Linked DNA regions of Lonchura striata. The protein of the gene in region 3 interacts with the protein of the main gene of each other region in a biochemical or structural test. Links are inferred from orthologs where the notes say so. Each region holds a gene or a part of one and is shown on either strand. Other genes may lie near its edges. The genes, in order: STAM, STAM2 and USP8.

Region 1 (7,509 bases), on a different chromosome or scaffold from region 3:
CAGATAAATCTGCATTTTTCAGGAACAACTTGCTGGGAATAATTTTATGATTTTAAGATTAAGAAATACAGCAGAAACATAAAACCCACAAACCTAATAAGAACACTTATAATTCTAACCCCTTAAATGGAAGATTAGAGTTTCTTAATTATACTCTCAACAGGCCCAGTTCTTGAAGATTTTTTCCTTTTTTTAAATTCCATGTTCCTTACTTGGGCACATCATCAAAGGTTCCCCAACTTGATTCTGAAAACTTGTGTCACCACTGATTAGCATCCAGTCCTGTTGAAATATTCCTAACTATGGTGAAAAAGAAACTTCAGAAAATGAAAACTATTTGGACTTCATCCAGAGAATTGGACTCTTGAAGATGACAGTGGTTAACCTTCACAAATCTTTGGACATCTTTAATATTATTAATTTAATAGCAGTCTTAAATAACATTCTTTAGCCAACTACACCTAAAAAAAACAGGCGTACAAAGTTGGTACAAATGATAATATATTATGGATGACCAGGTTCCACTGCAGCAGCATGCTAACAGGACTAGCCAAATGCTGCTAGCTGGCCAGACAAACTGCAAAATTTGTCCTGAAGGTAAGACATACTTATGCTCCTCAAAATAATGCAAAACAATTTAGTTCCAGGTATGCTCTCTGCAATCCATTACCCTAAATGGTTCCAAGATAATTTCCAACTATTGCACAGTACTGATCAGCTGTTCAGTAGACAAGAATGCACTATAGCTATAGTATAGCTATCACTATACTATCAACTACACCAATGTCCACATTTGTATGAAATTAAGAATAGCTGCTGACTGCCTTTCTGCTTCTGGAATCTGATTTTAAAAAGAAAACTTTCTTGCTGGATAAGAACAAAAGCAGAACGCTCAACTTTCACTCACAGCAAACCAATGAAAAATAGCACTATAGCTTCACAACTTTTGGAAGTTTCTTGAGAACATGAGAGTTTACTCTACAGCTGATGCTATCTTATGAAGCCTGCCAAAAAATTCATCCAGATAATAGCAAATTCCCAAAGGGCCCCAGAGAAGAGCCCAGGGGTGCTTTCCGGGAGACTTCATCACTGCCATCTCCCTGGCACAAATCCAGTGAAGTGATGGATAAAGGCAGCAGGGTCCTGAAAGTAGGCTGTCACCAACTGAACAGCCTGCTGCTCCCTCAGGACACCATGAAAGGGGCCAAAAGGGGCTGTTTACCAGTGAAAATCAGCTCATGGCCCATTGTCTGCTTTTCCAAAAATGATTTGGTACTGAGTGGTTATTTCTATCTCCTCATACTCTTTACAGAGTAATGCTTTTGAAAGTTCTTCACTGCTGATCATATTAGGCAAGCACCATAGATAGGAGGTTGGCATCCTCTGCACCTAGAAAAGAGCAAATGAGCCACTGAAATAACTGACGGGTGCTACTGCCCTGCCTTGTGACTCACAGTGCTGAGGAGCACATCCAGTGAATTGAGCTCCAGAGACACCCCTTCAAGCAGTCTGAGCTCTCCTGCCAGCAAGAGGCACTAACAAGAAAAAAAGTGAACACCTGCCAGAACCTGAGCCTATCACTTTTTAATCTTATTAGTTCAAATAATTCTCAAATAGTCCCTTATAGCTGTCAAATTACACTAGAAGACAGCAGAACAACTAAGAAGAATTCTTTACTGCTTTCCAAAATAAGTCAGCTTTGCTACCAACAAAATCATTCATTGAAGTGCAGTCTTCAGCTTAAAAGTTAACAGTTCAAAATGAGAAGACCGAGGTATGTCTTATTTTGATGCAATAGACTAAGATTTTCTGATAACATAAAAACAGAATTTATATCTCAGTACTTTGTTTATTCAATAATCCTTTCTCCTGAAATGCTATACTTTTCAAATGGCTTTGACTTGGTATTTCTTTGAAGCGCTGGAAGAATTTAATTGGAGCCTAAACACCTGAAGTTTGATATTAAATATTAAGAAACTGCAGTTGAATATTAATATCTGCAGTTGAAAGTTACAGCTAGTTTAACACTATTAAAGAAATTAGTTTCAAGAGACTTAAATAATGTTACACTTCTGTAAGAAAATAACCAAGGGGTGTATTTATGCACATAGGAGAAAAAGTCCCTTTATATTATGGGATTCTCCAGACAAAGCCTTTATGGCTCAAAGCTAAAGAGATGTCAGCAGCAGGTCAAAAACCAACCATATTACACAATCTCAAATAAAACACACAAAACTAATTATTAACTGTCTATATGTTATTTTAACTTCAGTTTCAACACATCAGCATTAAGTCCAATTTTTGTCAAGTAAAAGCCAGATACTTCTCCACCTAATCTGGCCTTTTGGAACAAGCAAAGTGGGGATAACACCTGAGCTCAGCACATCAAGTTTTACTTGAAAGGAAAAGAGAAAGCTCCCACAGGAATCCCCTTTAAAGAACTAAATACAAAACGCTTTAACGATTTTCTCACGCCTGTCTGTGAAGCGACTGTAGATGGTGCTTTTTTCTGTTCATCCTTTCAAAAACACTCCAGCGCGGACCTTTCGCGCCGCTTGTTTTGCTGGCGCTGAGCAGGCCAGCTCGTCCCCCAGGAGCATCCCCGCGCTCGGCGCCGCGGCCCGCAAGGCCAGAAGGGCCGCGGGGCCCCGGCGCTGTCCCCGGCAGCTCCGGCCGCCCCCGCCGGGACGCGGCCCCGGCCCGCCCCGGCCGCTCCGTGGCCCCGGCCCGCCCGGGCCCCGCCGCTGCTGCGGCTTCCCGGGCGGGCGCCAGGGGCCCGGCAGCGCAGGGCCGGGACAGCGGCCGGCTGCCGCGGGGATGGAGCCAGCGCGGGTCCGGGGGCCGGCCCGCCGAACGCGGGATCACCGGGGAGAGGCCGGGCCGCGGAGCCACTCACCCACATCCTGGTCGAAGGGGTTGGTGGCGAAGAGCGGCATGGCGGGGCGGGGGGCGGCCGCCCCTCCCGGCAGTGGCGGCGGCGAGAGAAGGAGAGCAGCCCTCGGCGGCGGCGGCGGCGGCTCCTCCTCCCGCCCCGGCAGCGCCGCCACCGCCTCCTCCCAGCGCCGGGCGCCGCCTCCCGCGCAGCACGCCGGGAACCGGGGCGGGAACCGGGGCTGGAACCGGGGCGGGAACCCGGGCGGGAACCCGGGCTGGAACCGGGGCTGGAACCCGGGCTGGAACCGGGGCGGGAACCGGGGCCGGGCCCGCCGCCACCGCCCCCCGGCCTTCCGCGGGACCCGCAACACCCGCCCTGCCCCGCCCCGCCATCGCAGGTGGGCATCTCAGCCCCGGCACGGCTGCCCTAGGCGGAGGTTTATATTATTTAGTTACGTGAGGTCTTTCCTCCGCCCGTGCTTGTGAGGCGAGATGGTTTTGTACCCAGACACATTTGATTTCTATGGGAGATTTTTGGAGCTTCCCTATACGTTGGTCTGACTGAATCTTTTCATTGGCAATGCCACGGTGCTTGTGGCACGGTAGCCTGGCGGCAAAGGGCAGGCTGGTGGTTGTGCCAGATCTCTCACAGCATCACACGGGAGCCTGGCCGTTTCTCCGCGGTCACATCTCATGGAGGGCAGTAGCTATCGGCTGGTCACAGGGCCTGGAATATCCCGTGGCCTCTGGTTCTCTATCTTGGTGCTCCACTTTGTAAGCCTGTGTTGCTGGCTTCAGTGGGGTGTGTCCCACGTTAACAATATGACTCATTGGATAAGACACGTTCTGCATATTCCTGCTGTGACATAAAACTCAAGTCATTATCCTTAATGCCTTTTAGTACTGTTCGATACTCTGAACTGGTTGGATTGCAAATTAAGTAAAACTAGGCTCATGTATACGCTTGGGGAAAGAGTCAGACAGAGCAATTGGAGCACATCACAGGCACGCAAACAAGAAATGAAAGAGGTGCTATGACTGTTTGCAGGGCAGAAACACTGGATGTGATCAATAGCATTAACTATGCTCAATAATGAATGTGATTGCATGCATTAGGCAGACTTCTGACACATCAAATGAAAACTGCACACCAAGCCTTTTCCCACAAGGATTTACAGTCACTAAGCACTTTGTTATTTTACTAAGGTTTCTTTCCCAGACCTCTAGTTCTGCTTTACTGTTTAGCAACTGTTTTCAGTAGCTAATGCAGGTCAGCATTGATCTGCTGTGTAGAACTGACTACTTGTAAGGAATTTCATGTTTTCTTTGGATTCTACCTCTATTCAACTACTAAATACTCTCAGAGGATACTTTACCTCCTCCCCATTCATCATCCCCCATTATGTTCACAAAAGACATATGGTAGATGTCCTCTGAGCCTGCTTTATCCCCTCCTTTCTCATCCCTTCTTTCCGATCAGTTCAAAATTAATGGTAGGAATCCTTTCAAAACAAGCAGAGCTTTTATTCAGTCGTCCTGCAGGAAGAGCTAACACAACACTTGTGGGGAACTGGGGTTTTAGACTGCCTTCAGCCTAAAAGCATTCCAACCCAATCTTCCTTCCCAATACCTTACTGAACATTTTGAAAAAAGGCAGTCTATACCAGGAAGCATCTTAAGGGTTTGTAATCATGGCTCATATTTTAATTCTGTAATGATTTTTTTTTTACTGTGGACACAGTGTGAAGTACTTCCAAAACTCCATATTGTATTGATTTCTCCCTCTTTTCCCTGTCTCGTGACTCTAGCATTTTTCCATGGCTGGTAGGTAGAGCACTCTCCCAGGAAGAGGGAGGTTTGCCCTCTCTGACATAAATGGCTATCGAAACCAGCTTTTCCACCTTATGTGTGAGTAGTATAATGAATATGCTATTAAGAACAGGTGTGTTAATCTATATGCTATTAATAAACAGGTGTGAACTACATCTTTACTGGATGTAGTTCAAAATGCTTGTATTATTTCCTACTGCTGCCTAAGTTAGCTATCTAAAAGTAAGGCATACAGATCAAAGATACAGTCTCAAATTGCATCTAATTTTGGGGGATCTACAGCTGAAAGAGAATGTAGCAACACTGCCCTGTGCCCACAACTATGTGCTGCCACCACATTTCTTGTATTAGATTTGGAATTTGATCCATTTCATTTGTGGCTGCACAATCAGCTGATCCAGCTGAAAACTACCTCACTGCAGAGAAGTTCCCTGTTGGATCATGTCATACCTCTGACTCACCTTGGAATTAGATCAGGCATGTGAAGAGGTGGGAAGGCATGGCTGGGGACAGTACTTCAGCAGTCTGGGTCAGGAAAAACAGGCATGTCCAGGGGATTATTCATCTGTTCTATTTTGGACCTCATTCTGAAGATGGCCTCTGCAACAGTGACTCTGTTGATTTCACAGATGAGCCTATTTGTCCAACAGTTCTCTGACTTAGGGCTTGTCTCTAGACAGCCTTATAGCAAGTTTTAAGTAGGGTGTTGTTTTTTTTTTTTAAAATGTGTGCTACTTTTGTCTGAAGTAAGCAGTCTCAGATGACTGGTGCAGGCATGTCTTTTTTCTTTGCACACTTCTCTTTTTATATAGTACTGTTGTTCAGATACAGCTAAGAGATCACAGAATGGCTTGGGTTAGAATGGACCTTAGTGGTAATCTAGTTCAAATCCCCCTGCCCTAGGCAGGGACACTTTCCACTACACCAGGTTGTTCACACCCCTGTTCAATCTTTGAACCACTGCCAGGTTTGGGGCACCCACAACTTCTCTGGGCAACATGTTCCAGAGCCTCACCACCCTGACAGCAAATAATTTCTTCCCAATATCTCATCTAAATCTACCCTGTTTCAGTTTTAAAGCCATTACCCCTTGTCTTATTGCTGTGTCACTACAATGTCCTTGTTAAAAAGTCCCTCTCCACCTTTCTTGCAGGCACCTTTCAGATACCAGAAGGCTGCAATGAGTTCTCCCAGAGCCTTCTCTTCTCCAGTCTGCACAGCCCTAATTCTCTCAGCCCATCTCCATAGCAGAGTTGCTCCAGCTCTCTGATCATATTCATGGCCTCCTCTGCACTCATTCCAGCAGGTCCACATCCTTCTTATGTTGGGGTACCCCGAGCTGAATCCAGTACTCCAGGTGAAGTCTCATAAAGGCAGGTATTCAGTTAATTTTCAGCATAACACGCTTCCTGGATTTTAAAGATGTGACATACACCTAAATTTGATAAAGTGTTTTACTTATGCTGTTTGTTTATATAATTTGTGACTTTTACTTAAAATTATGACAAGAGTTTATTCATATGAAGGTAAATTTTGGATTCTGATGATATACAATTATTCATTTTTCTATAGTCTTCTGTAGGAAAGGATATCTAAGAGGACCAACTTGTAAATCTGCTGGGGAAGTTCTAATGTTCTTTACAATCACTCAGTTGACATCCATCTGCATTAGACAAGCATTTTCTTAAAATAAGGCAAAGCCATTATAGACATAGCGACCCACTGCAGCTCCAGTTTGCTGGGGTAGTATTTTATTTGTCATGCCCATTTATTTTAGCATATCTTGGTAGCTGCTGCATTGTAAAAACAAAGTGTATGGTGCCAGGAAAAAGTCAGGCCAGTACACTTCTAGCAAGGAGACAGATATGAAGAACAATGATTGTCTCACAAATCAGTCCCACTGACCTTTATTTTAACTGCATTTTCATTATAGTCTACTGTGTACATTGCTTTTGGAACTGGAAACTGTGAAGAAAGGATAATCAAAGGAAAAGAGAAAAGCTCAGAATAGAGTAAGTGCCAGCCATCCATTTAATCACAGTTTTTGTCTTTGACAGGGCAAGAACAAAATGTTTTGGATGGCTTACAAGATGCTGTACTGCATAACGATACAATGATATGACAAAGACAAAATTTTTCCAGTTACAGGGCACATGTAGATGCTTTAGCTACTGGACCATAGTGATTTACTTCCCATCTATAACCTTACTGTATATGTTCTAATATTTTGCAAGTGTCCAAGCAGCATGGCTTACAGTAATCTTATCTATTCCATTATGTATGGAGAAAATATATGAAACATATCAATACAGTATGTCTGGTGTCTGGTGTTAGGAAATCAGGCTAAAATTATTTAATTGTCGCTTTTTGCCTTAATATTTATGAAGTATGCAAGTAGGATTATATGAAGCAAATAACTGGAAATCCTTCAAACCCATGTAATCTTAGAACTAGGCAAAGATTCTACTATTAAATTTTGTAAAATAATTCATTTTGCCCTGACAACATTAAACACTGTGATGTGCAACTTTCTAGTTAATATTTGCACAGGGATGCCAGAAACAAGGGTTTATATCTTCCTCAGTCTCTCTGAATTCAAAGCAGTAATTTCGAAGCAACTCACATGAAGAAATATTTAATACATTTACACTGAAGTTTTGTTAAATTATTTTGGAAAACAAGTTCATTGAAGTCAAACACAAAAATATGTTTATGCTATTTGCTTGAGTACTCTTATGGTAATCTATTGTGATCTACCTGTGAAAGGCAGGTAACCTGTAAGGTGCTGGCTGCTGGGATCCCTGG
Region 2 (6,927 bases), on a different chromosome or scaffold from region 3:
TTTGAAGTTCTGCAGCCTGGGAGTCCTTGAGGCATTTAGGTTTGTTCAAGAACCCTGCAGAGTTCCAAAAAAATCCACCTGAACAAATACACCAGTTTGAGCCACGTGAAATGTGAGTGTGGTCAAACAGCAAACTGCACCAGGGAGTTGAAATTAGAAATAAAATAATAAATAAACCAGGAAACCAGCTCAAAATGAAACAAGAGATTGTGTGGCAACAAGAGCACTCAAACTCTTCCATTTTGGCCAGGACAAAAATCCCAGGAATGTTGAATTCTTCTCTTTCCTAGGGTGCCAACAAGAAAGCTGAGCCTGGTGTCTCACTTATTTCACTGTTTTTTTCAGTGCTGCCATTGAGAACAGACGTTGTGTAACAAAAAAGTGACACAGAGCACGAGTTTAAGGAAGCACGAGTCAGGGCAGGACACAAAACAAAACAACTGAGTCACCGTCTTCAGCCCAACTCCAGGCAGCTTCTGTAATCATTGAAGCACAGAATATCCTGAGTTGGAAAAGATCCATCAAGATCATCCAGCCCAGCTCCTGGCCCTGCACAGCCACCCCAACCTCTGTGTGGTTCTGGGGAAGCCACTGGGAAAAAATCCTCAATAAAAGGATGAAAAGCAGCTGATCTTCCAGCAGCCACAAGTATCCGAATCCCTGCAAACGCCATGGCGAGGCCAGGATGCACAGAGACACCTCTGGAAAACGCTGGGAAATTTCAGGAGTCGGAGCAAAACAGGCACAAACCATTCCTTGATGCTGCTGAGGGGAAGGGAGAGGGGGGAACCACGGATCCTTTCCCTGCCAGAGCCCCCAGCCCGGCCAGGATGTGTCAGGTGTGCCCTGGGCCCACCACAGCCACAGGAGGAATCCCGGGATTATTAAGGCTGGAAAAGCCCTCCCAGCCCATCCAGTCCCAGCTGTGCCCAAAGCCCACCTTATCCCCAGCCCAGAGCCCTGAGTGCCACCTCCAGGAATTCCAGGGACACCTCCAACCCTCCCTGGGCAGCCCCTGCCAAGGCCTGAGCACGCTTGCCAGGAAGAATTTTTCCCCCAAAATGCAAAAGATAGGATTTTAAGGACTTTCCGGGCTCCTTTTCTGTTGTTGGTGTGAGGGATTTGGAGCTGTGGGGGAGCACAAAATGTTCCCTGCCAGGAGGAGCTGGGGCAGGGCCACCTCTGCTGCTGGGGTGGGATTGATGGATATTCCCTTCTGGGAAAAGCCTTGGGATTCTGGTGCTCAGGATCCCAGAAATGAGGCTGGAAAAGAGCTCCAAGATCCCAAAGTCCCAGCTGTGCCCCATGCCCACCCTGTCCCCGCCAAGAGCCCCGAGTGCCACCTCCAGAATTCCTGGGACACCTCCAGGGATGGGCACTCCAACCCTCCCTGGGCAGTGCCAATCCCTGAGCCCCTTTCCATGGGGAAATTCCTGCTGGTCCCACCCTGAGCTCCCCTGGGCCAGCCTGAGGCCGTTCCCTCTGCTCCTGTCCCATTCCCTGGGATGATCCCAAATCCCCCCGGCTGTCCCCTCCTGACAGGGAATTCCAGAGAGGGAAAAGATCCCTGGGGATCCTCCTTGGCTCCAGGCTGAGCCCCTTCCCAGCTCCCTCAGGGATTCTCCATTCCCTTCCCAGCTCCCTCAGGGATTCTCCAGCCCCTTCCCAGCTCCCTCAGGGATTCTCCATTCCCTTCCCAGCTCCCTCAGGGATTCTCCATTCCCTTCCCAGATCCCTCAGAGATTCTCCAGCCCCTCTCCAGCTCCCTCAGGAATTCTCCATTCCCTTCCCATCTCCCTCAGGGATTCTCCATTCCCTTCCCAGCTCCCTCAGGGATTCTCCATTCCCTTCCCAGATCCCTCAGAGATTCTCCAGCCCCTCTCCAGCTCCCTCAGGAATTCTCCATTCCCTTCCCATCTCCCTCAGGGATTCTCCATTCCCTTCCCAGCTCCCTCAGGAATTCTCCATTCCCTTCCCATCTCCCTCAGGAATTCTCCATTCCCTTCCCAGCTCCCTCAGGGATTCCCCAGCCCATTCCCAGCTCCCCCAGGAATTCTCCATTCCCTTCCCAGCTCCCTTAGGAATTCTCCATTCCCTTCCCAGCTCCCTCAGGGATTCTCCAGCCCCTCTCCAGCTCCCTCAGGGATTCTCCATTCCCTTCCCAGCTCCCTCAGGGATTCTCCATTTCCTCTCCAGCTCCCTCAGGAATTCTCCATTCCCTTCCCAGCTCCCTCAGGAATTCCCCAGCCCATTCCCAGCTCCCTCAGGGATTCTCCAGCCCCTCTCCAGCTCCCTCAGGGATTCTCCATTCCCTTCCCAGCTCCCTCAGGGATTCTCCATTTCCTCTCCAGCTCCCTCAGGAATTCCCCAGCCCATTCCCAGCTCCCTCAAGGATTCTCCATTCCCTTCCCAGCTCCCTCAGGAATTCTCCAGCCCCTTCCCAGCTCCCTCAGGGATTCTCCATTCCCTTCCCAGCTCCACTCCAGCCCCTCAGTGTCTCCCTTGTCCCAGAGCAGTCCCCACCCTTGCGGTGTCCCCGCAGTGCCAGCACAGGGACGGGCACTGCCCCGGGCTGTGTCACACCGGGCTGGCACAGCCCAGGGACCACTGGCCTCCTGCCCAGCTGGGCACCAGCCCCTCCCAGGGCCTTTTCCAGCCTTCCAGGCCCTTTCCCAGCCCAGCACTCCCGGGGCTCGCTGTGACCCCGTGTCACACCGGCCTCACCCCACGGCTGCCGATCCCTCCTGCCCCAGCCGGGCCACGGTGCCCTCCTCGGGATCACCCACCGGGACCCACGCCGACCCCCGGCGCGGGGAACAGCGAGGCGAAAAGAGGAGGACAAGGAGAAGGAAACAGCCGAGGAGGAAAAGGAAGCGGGGAAAAAAGAGGAGGAAGAAGAGAATCTACAGCCCGAGCAGGCCGCCCCGCCGAGCCCAGCCGCCGCCGCGCCGCTCACCCACGTCCTGCTCGAAGGGGTTGGCGGCGAAGAGCGGCATCTCGGCCCGCCGTGCCGCCGCGCGTCCCGCACCGCCTGACCCGGCCGGAGCCGCCGCCGCGCCCGCCCCGCCTCGGCCGCTCCGCGCGCGGGGCTGCCCCGCCGCGCCCGCAGCGCCGCGCGGCCCCGCCGCGCCCGCAGCGCCGCCGGGATCGCGGCCGGGAGGGAGAACAGCGGAGCGGCCCCGCGCGATGAGGGGAACGGGGCGGGCGGCGGGAGCGCGGCGGCGGCAGGCGCGGCGCGGGGCCCCGCGGGGCGGAGCTGCCGCTGAGGGCGCGCCGACGCGACCCGCCGCCATGTCGCGGCGGCGCCTGAGGGAGCGAGCGCGGCGGGCGCCGCTCGTCCTTTGTACCCGAACTGCGCTTGTCTGAGGGCGCAAACTGCGCGGGCAGCTCGTCCTGGCTCGTCAAGAGGAAAAGTTAAAAAAAAAAAATAAAAGAAATAAAAACAGTGAACCGTTGGAAATGCTGAAAAAATTTCCCAGAGAGCTGCAGGGGAAGCGGGTCATGAGGCAGGGTCCTGCATGATTGTTGTCCAATGTGGAATGCGTAAAGGTTTTGTACAGGAAGGAAGTTCTTTTGTGTTAGGAAGGAAGTTCTTTGGTGTTAAGAAAGACGTTCTCTGGTGTTTGGAAGGATGTGCTCTGGTGTTTGGAAGGATGTTCTCTGGTGTTAGTTCTTTGTAGGTTGCAATGAGGATCGCCAGGAAGGGCGGTGGGAGACAGCAGCCAGCGAGCTCCCACTGATGTACAGTGCCGGAAAAACAAATTCCTCAGGCTGCAACTGCTGTGTTAAATTCAGGGCTTGTCAGCTCCAGTGAGGTCAGCTGTAGGTGAGGCTGAGAGCGTTCAGGAGGAAGGATTTGCCCTGGTTGTGGATCCAGGGATTTTCGTTCAAGAGGAAGGATTTCAATCCCTGGTTATGGATCCAGGGATTCCCGTTCAGGAGGAAGGATTTCAATCCCTGGTAGTGGATCCAGGGATTCCCGTTCAGGAGGAAAGATTTCAATCCCTGGTTATGGATCCAGGGATTCACATTCATGAGGAAGGATTTCAATCCATGGTTATGGATCCAGGGATTCACATTCATGAGGAAGGATTTCCTCTGTTAGTGGATCCAGGGATTCCCGTTCAAGAGGAAGGATTTCAATCCCTGGTTATGGATCCAGGGATTTGCATTCATGAGGAAGGATTTCAATCCCTGGTTATGGATCCAGGGATTCACATTCAGGAGGAAGGATTTCCTCTGGTAGTGGATCCAGGGAATGCGGGATTCCCGTTCAGCAGGAAGGATTTTGCCTCGCAGTGGATCCAGGGATTCCCGTTCAGAAGGAAAAATTTCTCCTGGTAGTGCATCCAAAATAAGCTGTTTCCTGAGCTGAATTTCCAGGGAATGCAGGATTCCTGTTCATGAAGAAGGATTTCAATCCCTGGTAGTGGATCCAGGGATTCCCGTTCATGAGGAAGGATTTCAATCCCTGGTAGTGGATACAGGGATTCCCATTCAGGAGGAATGGTTTCCTCTTGTTTGGATCCAGGGATTCCCGTTTAGGAGGAAAGATTTCCTCTGGTTGTGGATCCAGGGATTCCCTTTCATGAGGAAGGATTTCCCCTGGTATTGGATCCAGGGAATTCGATATTCCCATTCAGCAGGAAGGATTTCTCCTGGTTGTGGATCCAGGGAATGCAGAATTCCTGTTCAGGAGGAAGGATTTCCCCTGGCAGTGGATGCAGGGAATTCAATATTCCCATTCAGCAGGAAGGATTTCTCCTGGTTGTGGATCCAGGGAATGCCGGATTCCCAGGCCACAAAGGCATCTGGCAGAGCCCCCGGGGCAGGGAAGAAACCAACAGAGCCAATTCAGCGGCTGTGGTGAAATCAGCTGTGCCCGGGTAAAAGGGAATTAATTCCAGCAGGGGGTAAAAAACTGCCTGACCCTAAACGGGACAAGGGCACGGCATTAATTAGCATGAGGAACGAGAGAATCATTAACCAGCAGGAGAGAGGACACTAATTAATAACTGGCTGAGGAGATGAGGGGATTACAGGTTGTGGAGGGATGGTGGCAAACAGGAACATTCCACAGGGAACGTGGCTCAGTGACAGTTCAGATTTTTGGGATGTGTGGCCCCCCAAAAATCCCCATTATGGGCACACCTGAGCACCACCTGTCCCCATCCCTGCTGGGGGATCAGCTCCAAGTCCTTCCTGTGAGGAACAAGTGGGATGAGTCAGGGGTTGTACCCAGCACCGGTGCCTTTGGAATATGCACAGTCACCCATGTGGGAGCGGGCCTGAGTCACTGCGTTACCCACTGCTGAATTCTGAGTTATTCCCAAAGAATTTGTGCCTAATTCTGAGTTATTCCCAAAGAACCTGTGGCAAAGCACAGCACCCACTGCCTAATTCTGAGTTATTCCCAAAGAACCTGTGGCAAATTGAGTTATTCCCAAAGAACCTGTGGCTAATTCTGAGTTATTCCCAAAGAACCTGTGGCAAAGTGAGGCATGGCAGCAGCACAGTTCCCAATTCTGGGAGAAGGGCAGGATTTTGGAAGTCCAACACAAATTATTGCAGCATTCCTGAAAGCTTCCTGTATGATTCAGTGATATTTCCCTGCCCACTCACCTTGAATTTCAGGGGCCACATTCCTTTCCTCAGCTGTAATACCAAAGTGTAAGATTCAGAGCACGTGTGAAAACAGTATTTTTAGCACCTTTTGTAAAGAGATTTAATTCTTATATTGTAATTGAATTGAATTATACATTTGAATAATTATAAATTATTATTATTTATTAAAATTTCATTTGGAGATGTTCCTACAAAAATGTAGTGCTTCGTTTTTGTCATGAAAACAGCTCATATTTTTGGAACATCTTGTACTTCAAAACATTGGGTTTTAAATCAGCTGTGATGACCTGGGGCTATCAAAGCTTCTCTGTCGGGATTTTTGATTCTGGAATTCCATCAAATCAGCAAGGTTGGAGGAGACCTTTCAGCTCAACGCCTTGAAGTGGATGGGCTGTGTGAGGAGGCGGTGGAGGTCCAAGGAGCGTTCCCTTCCCGGTTTTCCAGGCTTTTTCCAGGGATTCCGGCTGTCTGCAGGGGGCACAGTTGCCTCGCATTCCCGGCCACCCTTTGCCATCCCGATCCTGCTGCTGGGAATCGCCTCCTGCCAGATTTTTTAAGACAAAATGCAGAGTCTTTCCCGAGGTCTAAATTCACTAATTGCATCGAAACTTCTCCTTTCATTTAACGACTCGGAACGAGAACGGCATTCATTGGTTTAATTGCCTTAAAAGAGGAATTATGAACCCATTAGCACGGGAAGGCACCGAACACTGATGTTGTCTGGCCAAAGTGGGAATTTGGAATGGATCCTGGTTAATTCCAGAGTTTTGGCTTTCATGAACTCCACTCATTCCACGTGGTGCCGCAGTCAGAGCAGCTGGCCGTGGAAACGAAGGGATGGTTCCTCCATTTCCATAGGTTTTGTCACCTCAAATCAAACGTGGAGCTTTGCTCCATTCTCTTTTGGACATGGTGGGACCACGCATCCAAGACCACCTGGAAAGGAAGGATTGGGAAGGGCTTTCCGCTGAGTCTGAGCCTCCCAGCTCCAAGGAGTCGTGGAGAACATCCAGTCCAGGAGCACCTACAGAACTCCTGCTTTGGGTGACACCACAGCCAGAGCCACAATTCCCAAAGGAAAAATCCCACAGGAAATGGTAAAAATCAACAACAATACAGAAAGGAAAGGAAAATATCAGGGCACGGAGTAATGGAGGAACAAACTATTCCTTAAGGAGAAGCAAGGAGGAGAGGACAGCAAAATGATCTGAAAAGAAGCTGTTTCCAGAGCTGTATTTGCAGCCTCTGGCTCTGGGAATCTCTGTCTCCCTGAGCAGTCTGTGCCCCCGTGTCCCAGCTGTG
Region 3 (7,281 bases):
GAGCCTAAACAGGGAAGTTTAGAAAACATGGAGATGCCTGTCCCTGTGTAACCTTCTAAAATACTTCTAATTCCTTGCCCAGGAAGCTGAACTATATTACAGCACCTAGAGGTACAGTAACATTGGTTGGCACTGGGCACATGAAAGGCTCAGACAATTTATCCATCTGTAGTTTGCAGTGTGAGTGCTCAGATCTGTGAAAGGTTCTGGGAGAAATGAGAACGGTGCTATGTCCTCTATATAGTGCAGAAAAGTGAACACAAAGTAAGTCAATAGAATCCAACAACTCTAAGCTGAACTGAATATAACACCACACTCTTGTAAGTGCCTTTTTCAGACCTGCTCTATGTGTTTTAGCCAGGGTGAGTGATGCCAGAAGGTTATGACAAGATGGAAGGGGTAAGTTCACTGATACCAGAGCTTGGGATGTGTACAAATTAATGTTGACACTCATACTCACTGCTGTCCAAACTGGACTCAGAGAACCTCTTTATTGTTTCTCTTATATGAAAAAATTGCATGATACAATCTTTGGTTTTACTTGTATGGGCAAACCCCAGCCATATTAGAAAAGTGTTTGGGGAGGAGTTGCCTGTGCAATTAGCTTTACCCCACTCCAGAGCTTGTTAAAACATGCTAATGATGTTGATTATGTTATAACATGCTGTGGTTGCCTCAGGTTAGAACACATTTTCTTATCAGCACATATGTTCTTGTGTAGCAGTACTAAATAAATAAAATAATTTTAGTAGAAATTGGTGTGCTTTTAGATTAGTTAGCTAAAAAAAAAAAAAAATAGTACCATCTTCTAAAGCAGGGTAAAGTAGAAACCATACTTTACAGATGTGAAATGTGTTCTGAGTTGCCTACATCTAACATACAATGTCTCTCTCTTACATGTTTTGGTGAATCCTGTAAAAAAACTAGACATGATTATTTTGTGATCATATTAATGAAAATTGATATACAGTGCTAATGGACCAAATGCATTCTTCACCTTTATGAAAGATTGTCAGTAATATGGAAATTTTGGCTTTTCTGTAGCACTGCTGCTAACACCAGTCTTCCTGTTTTATTGGCACACGCCTGTGAGCACACTGTAACATTTTTTGTGTCTACCACTACTGCATAAATGAAAAGCCATACCTGACATGCTAATTCCTTGTTGAGAGACACAGACACTTGCCAACAAGGAACGTGCTGAAGGTTGGATGTAAGGTTTCCATGCCCTGAGTGACCAGTGGCAGCCCTGAGGTATTTGGAATTGTTCCGTACTGCCGCCTTTTGGCTCAGCACGCCCAGAAAAACCAGTCCACAGGTGACAGAAAGAAACGGTTACCTTGGAATTTTGTTATTGGTATTTTGTACAAAGCTGCATTAGATAGGTCAAAGGCAAATAATAACGGCTCTGTAAACAGTGTTATAACAAGTATTCCTCTAATTATCTAGTGGGTATTATAATCTCCAAAATAACAGACTAGAATTCTGTCATTGGTATGTTTTCCTGTAAGATGAGAATTATGAGATCCATGCTTCACAGTAGCAGATGTATGACTTGGAGCAGCTTTGGGGAAATTGTGAGCACAACTATTTTGGATTGTTGAAACAAAACTACGAGAAAAATGTTTCAGGGCCTGGGCTGTCAGGTTCAGTACCAGCCTGGGACTGAAGGCCAGAGCCCTCTGAAGGAGCAGCAACATCTGAAGACTATTTTGGAGCTGTCATCCTGTCAAGTTCTATTTCTATGATCCCAAAGTGTAGCTTCCTCAGATTTGCAACTGGTGAGGCCAGACCTTGAATACTGAATCCAGTTCTCAGACCCTTAAGGAGGACATTTTGGGGCTGGAGCAGGTCCAGAGAAAGGCAATGAAGCTGGTAAGGGACCTGGAACACAAGTCCTATGAGGAGCAGCTGAGGGAGCTGGGGGTTCAGCCTGGAGGAGGCTCAGGGGTGACTTTATCACCCTCTACAACTCCCAGATACGAGGTTATAGCTACGTGGGAAGGAATTTGTCTCTCCCAGGTTACCTATGCAAGAACAAGAGAACATAGTTTTGAGTTCCACCAGGGAAGGTTTAGGTTGGACATTAAGAATTTCTTCACAGGGTGATTAGACATTGGAATGAGATGCCCAGGGAGGCGGTCCGTCCCTGGGGGTGTAGAGCTGGCACGCAGTGCCATTGCTCTAAGCTGACACGATAGTGTGGAATCACACGCTGGACTCTTATGATCTCTGACGCCTTCTCCAACCGATTTGGTTCCGTGGTTATCTCTAAAGCCCTGCCGCAGACAGGCAAGACAGAGAAGTCCATGCTCAGACAGCACACCCTCACGTGGGAGCACAAGCAGAGCCCCGCAGCCAAGAGGCGGGAAACTCAAGCCCCACCATTCTGTGCCACAGAGTAACCCGTGATAGCGACCCCTATCTTCATTCCACAAGCTGCCTCTAGGGAGGCCACCCGGGCCTGCCGAGAGCGCGGGGCCGGCCCTGCCCCCGCCGGGCGGGCAGCGGAACGGAACATGGCGGGGCCCCTCCAGCCCGCGCTTCCCCGCCTTTCCCCGCGGCGGCGCGCATGCGCGCTGCGCGGCGCTGAGGCCGTATCCCTCCGCGCGCCCCTTTCCCTCGATGTCTGTGTTAATAAGGTAATTCCCGCGCCCATGGTAAGTGCCGGGCGCCCCTCCGGGCCCGCCCGGGGCGCCCCGCGCCGCCTCGCGCCCGCCCGCGCGCCCGCGGCGGGGCAGAGCCGCGCGGAGCCGCGCCACTCCCCTCCGCCCGCCGTGTCCCTCCGCCGGGCGCGGCGCGGACTCTCGTGTGGGGCTGTCGGCCTGCGGAGCCCCGGGTCGGTGCGGCGGCGGCGGCGGCGGCCGGGCCGGCAGCACGGTAAGGGCCCGTCCCCGCGCCCCGTCTCTCCCTCACCCCCCCCGGGCCGGCCAAGCTTTTCCAGGTCAGTCTGCGCCTTTGTATAGGGCCCTGTTACCGGATGTGGAAGTTGATCTCTTCGCTGGTAAAAAATAATTCCACTTCCCCCGGAACCCGGCGCCGCGGCTCCCTCCGCAGCGCCCAGCCCAGCCAGGATTTCCTGTCGGGGAGAGCGGGCGGCCGGCCGGCCTTCCGGGGACCCCGCCGCGCGGGGGGCGCGGGCGGCGCGCTGGGCCGCGGCGGCGGCCTGGGCGGCCCGCGGGGCGCGGGCGAGCGCGACGCGCCCGGCGAGGGAGCCGGCAGCTGAGGGGCAGAGCGGGGCTCGGCTCGTCCCGCGGGCTTCTCCGCCGGGCAGCGCGGTGTGGGCCGCGTGGGCACGGTCCCGAGCCCCGCGTGGGCCGGGGGGCCCGGCGGGGCCGCGGCCCGGGCTGCTGAGGCGGCGGGGCTGCGTGCGCGAGCTTGGCGCCAAAGGTGCCCTGGGGAGAGGCGGCTCGGGCGGGAAGGGAGCGGCTTCCCCTCCGCAGTGCCCCTCGCCCGCAGTCTGTAACTCTCGCTTTGCACTCTTAATAAAGCCTATGATGGGAGCATAAAAGTGGGATACGATATGTTAGTGCGCATTGTCGTTTTTTTTTCTGATTTCCCCAAATACTCAAAGTAGTTTCCGTTGGTGGGACGCTGGTGGCACGTCGGTGAAATCCCCTGTAGGAAGTCGCCTGTGGTAGTTCTTAAGGCGTTTGTGTATTTTCCTTTAACCTGCTTGCTAAGGTGGCTTTGATTTAACGGTGAATGCTTCATAGTAGAGTTACATATGCTCAGAGTTGTGAATGCATACCCTGTAGTTCTTCAGCCTATTTTAATTTACTCGTTACTTCTGAATTATTAGTAAGACTGTGCAGTTAGCTGGATTTTGTGTGCAGTACAAATATTTGTAGGGGAACATAACTGTGCCATGTGAGTAAAGTTAAGAGTATATGTGGCAGATCAGAATATTCTAAATAGAGACTTGTTCATGACCTACTTTCTTTGCTGAAAACACTTTGTTTTCTAGTTGGATTTTTTTTTTTTTAGACAGAAACTGTCGAGGAAGATTCCTCATGGTAAAATGGATGTTGTAGGTAGGAGGTGGATGAATTTTATTTGGTGATATTTTCAAGCTTAATCAACCTGAGACGGTCTCCTAAGGCTGTGGTACAGTTCAAAAGCTGCATCACAAGCCCTTGGATTCTTTATGTCAATCACAGCTGCTGCAAATTAACGTTTTTGGTATCTAGTGCCAAATTTATTTGTGAAAACTGTGTAGCTTGTTGGCAGTGACAGTCCAAATCTGGGTGTCAATGGTTCACCCTTTTTGCATAACACTCTTTAGATGTTACAGATCATGGACAAATCTGTGCTCTCCTTTATAAAAAAAGATGTAGAAAAACCTTTTTTTATTTGAGTTGAGTTCATTGTTGATTGGTGCTATTTTAAGTTAATGTATGAGCCTAATAGGAGAACAGACCTGCATTAATAACAGGCCTGGCTGTCTTTGCCACTAAGCTATGCAACAATGTTTGCTTTTCTCAGATCAGGTATTTTCATCTGATGCATGTCTGACATGAAGGTCATATTACTGTTCAAGCAAACTAGAGAGAATTTAATTACAAATACAACAGTCAGGAAAGCAGAAAGCGCAGGAATTAAAGCTGACTGCAATTTACATATTAGTGTCATTTTCACTATCATGATAGAAATGTGGATAGTCTAAGCCTATTATATTAATATTTGAAGTATTGCTTGTGAAATCATTGTCAAAAGATGTTTGATTCACATACAAAACCAGACATGAACTTTTTGAGTTTATCCATGTAAGTTGCTATAATCACTGGCAATTGTCATGTATGTAAAATGATTCCAAAGTGTTCATGAGATGCTATATACTCTATTCTGTACTTCAAAATATTATTGATCTTGGTATGGACAGGCACATAAAATTAGCTAGAAATGGCTATTCTGAATTTCTAGCAATACTGTGAGATGTTAAAACCAGTAGGGTGGTAGCATTTTCGAAGGTCAGTTCTGGGGAAGCAGGTTAAATTGGTTTTTCCTTAAGTACTGGGAAGAAAAAGACTTTCTGAAAGGACGTTATTTTTCCAGATGTAATGGATGTGAGAGATGATGGGTCTCTAGCCATCTTCTAAGTGCAATTCTGCCATCTGTCACTTGAGCAGGGAAAAGTGTTTAATGAGCCTTTAATGGAGCTGTGTGATTTGACATCCTTACCAGAGACACAGTGTGTATTGACTGGAGTACCTTTGGTAAGTTGCACTGCTGCAGTCCATGCTCCTCCAGAATAAGGATGTCCCTTTCAGGAGTGCACCCTGGGACAAATGCTGGGCTGGAAGGTCTCCATGCTGCCAGATGTTCTGCCACAGCTGTTTTGGGCCTGTTGATCTTGACCAGCTGATGCTCAGCACTGCGGCGATAGAGAAGGAGCAGGTCTGGGTTCTTGGGGGCAGGACACCACTCGGAGAGATGGTGCAACATTTTAAGCCAAACTTGATTTTAATTTGGACTGCAGTGTCTGCTGCTCTATTGTCCGTAGACTGTGGTGTGGTAGCCAGGTGTCCCAAGTTGCCAGGTTTTTAGCTCCACTTGCTTCCCACAAAGCCTATTTCACACACAGTTCCACCTAAACTGTTGAGTGGCATTCTACACCCTGCTGGTAACACTGTGATCTTCAGAGATTAATAGAGTGTATAAAAACCTAAATCTAAGATGGATATGAAAAAGTAGTATAATTTTCCTTTGAACATAAGTAAAATAGCAATAATAATTTGATGTTATTTTAAATTACCGGTTAGTTGTGGCATCTGGCTAATGATACTGTGCAGAATACATTGCAGTAATGTGGAAGTTCAGGAGCTGATTAAACCAGAGAAGTCTAAACCCAGCAGAAGCTCTTCCCTATTTACTCAGTTATAGACCAAACCCTCTCTTCACACGTTTGTGTAGGAGCTCTTAGAAGTCTGAAAACATTATCACATTGCCATAAGAGTAACTCCAACAGTCTCAAGTCTTTATTTCAGAGCCACTGATGTTTTTATTCTCCAAAAAAGTCCTCATGCAAAGTGTTACACAGCTGTCATACTTAGCAGAGCTTGATGGAAATGACACAGTGAAGAGAACCCTCCAACACTGTTCAGCAGAGTTGATTTTAGCACTGTGGAGTAGTAGCAGACTGGTCTTTGAAATAGCAATCTCATTTCAATTTTAAATGTATTATTGTATCTTGCTTGTGATAGTATCACTGCACTATTGTAGTGTTGCTGAGCGATCTTGAGAGAGCAGCTGGAAAGGTTTTCTGGAATGGGAGGTTGTGACTCTGCAGACCCTTTTTGCTCTGTCCCAGGACTGCGATGAGTAGTGGGGAAGTTGGGTATGTTGTCACTGGGGGCTTTCCTACAATGCCAGTCCTTGGAATGGGCTCCAAGTGGAAATCAGCTTTGGGTTGACTATTCAGAAATTTTGTGAGTGCTAGTATTTATTGGTTAAAAGTGACTAAACGTGCATGAGTTTGTTGGAAATGCCTCTCTGTTTGCTGCTGTTAGTGCATTAGTGACGTAATGGGATTTTTATTATTTTAGTTGAACAGTGGAAATTTGTGGGTTTTTTTTTCTTTTTTCCACTAGATGGCCCAAGCATGCTTCCAAGTACTCCATGAGAACTGAAACATAATTAATTTCTCTTTTAACTGAAGTAAAAACTACATTGTGAGGCATATACCAACCTGTGTGATGCTTTGTGCTTGTTTAAAATACAAACACCTTATAGCAACCAAGACAGTGTTGGTTAATGTAAGGAATATGTGGTAATGAAAGGTTATTTTTTTCCTTGATTAGAACATTTTTTTATCAAGTGTAGTATAAAGCTATTTAGTTTTGCATTGAGCAGAGAACTGGATCATTGATTGTGCTCCACAGTAATTCAGGGAGTTCAGGGAGGCTCTTGAAAAGGTGTTGATCTGAAGTTGGTCCCTAACATCTCCTGGGGAGTGAGACTGGCATTTTGCAGGCCACCATAATTTATTTTTTTTTGGGGGGAGTGGCTTGAGTTTTGCTGCAGAGGGTTTTCATAACAGCTTTGCAGTTCATTTCAGTGTATAGATGTGGGCAGTGGGTTCTGAATAGGGTGTTAAATGTACAGACTAATTTAATTCAGTTTAACAGACATCAAGTATAACTTGTTATCATGAGTGTCTTTTTGGTTAGTGGAGGAAGATGAATATATACTGAAGTCAGCTCTTCTATGAGGGTGGTTGGACACTGAAATGAAGCTAAAGAAGTGGTAGGATGTTCATAGAGAGACATTCAAAACTCAGCA

Evidence for each region.
Region 1: the proteins of USP8 (region 3) and STAM form a complex in vitro, tested with the Homo sapiens proteins (2 studies listed by BioGRID). The link is inferred for Lonchura striata from reciprocal best matches to the Homo sapiens genes USP8 and STAM.
Region 2: the proteins of USP8 (region 3) and STAM2 form a complex in vitro, tested with the Homo sapiens proteins (3 studies listed by BioGRID, with this or other methods). The link is inferred for Lonchura striata from reciprocal best matches to the Homo sapiens genes USP8 and STAM2.

What each region holds. Positions count from the first base shown.
Region 1 is NC_134603.1:136,688,431-136,695,939, reverse strand, and holds the start of STAM (signal transducing adapter molecule 1), read right to left. Parts: upstream 3,047-7,509; 5' UTR 2,937-3,046; coding exon 2,897-2,936; intron 1-2,896. UniProt on the Homo sapiens protein: Involved in intracellular signal transduction mediated by cytokines and growth factors. Upon IL-2 and GM-CSL stimulation, it plays a role in signaling leading to DNA synthesis and MYC induction. May also play a role in T-cell development.
Region 2 is NC_134610.1:1,561,549-1,568,475, reverse strand, and holds the start of STAM2 (signal transducing adapter molecule 2), read right to left. Parts: upstream 3,066-6,927; 5' UTR 2,997-3,065; coding exon 2,957-2,996; intron 1-2,956.
Region 3 is NC_134613.1:14,580,458-14,587,738, forward strand, and holds the start of USP8 (ubiquitin carboxyl-terminal hydrolase 8), read right to left. Parts: upstream 3,092-7,281; 5' UTR 2,978-3,091; intron 2,945-2,977; exon of another isoform or gene 2,777-2,944; intron 2,661-2,776; coding exon of another isoform or gene 2,658-2,660; exon of another isoform or gene 2,650-2,657; intron 2,643-2,649; exon of another isoform or gene 2,594-2,642; intron 1-2,593. Other genes in the region: GABPB1 (GA-binding protein subunit beta-1), read left to right, coding at 2,658-2,660. UniProt on the Homo sapiens protein: Hydrolase that can remove conjugated ubiquitin from proteins and therefore plays an important regulatory role at the level of protein turnover by preventing degradation. Converts both 'Lys-48' an 'Lys-63'-linked ubiquitin chains.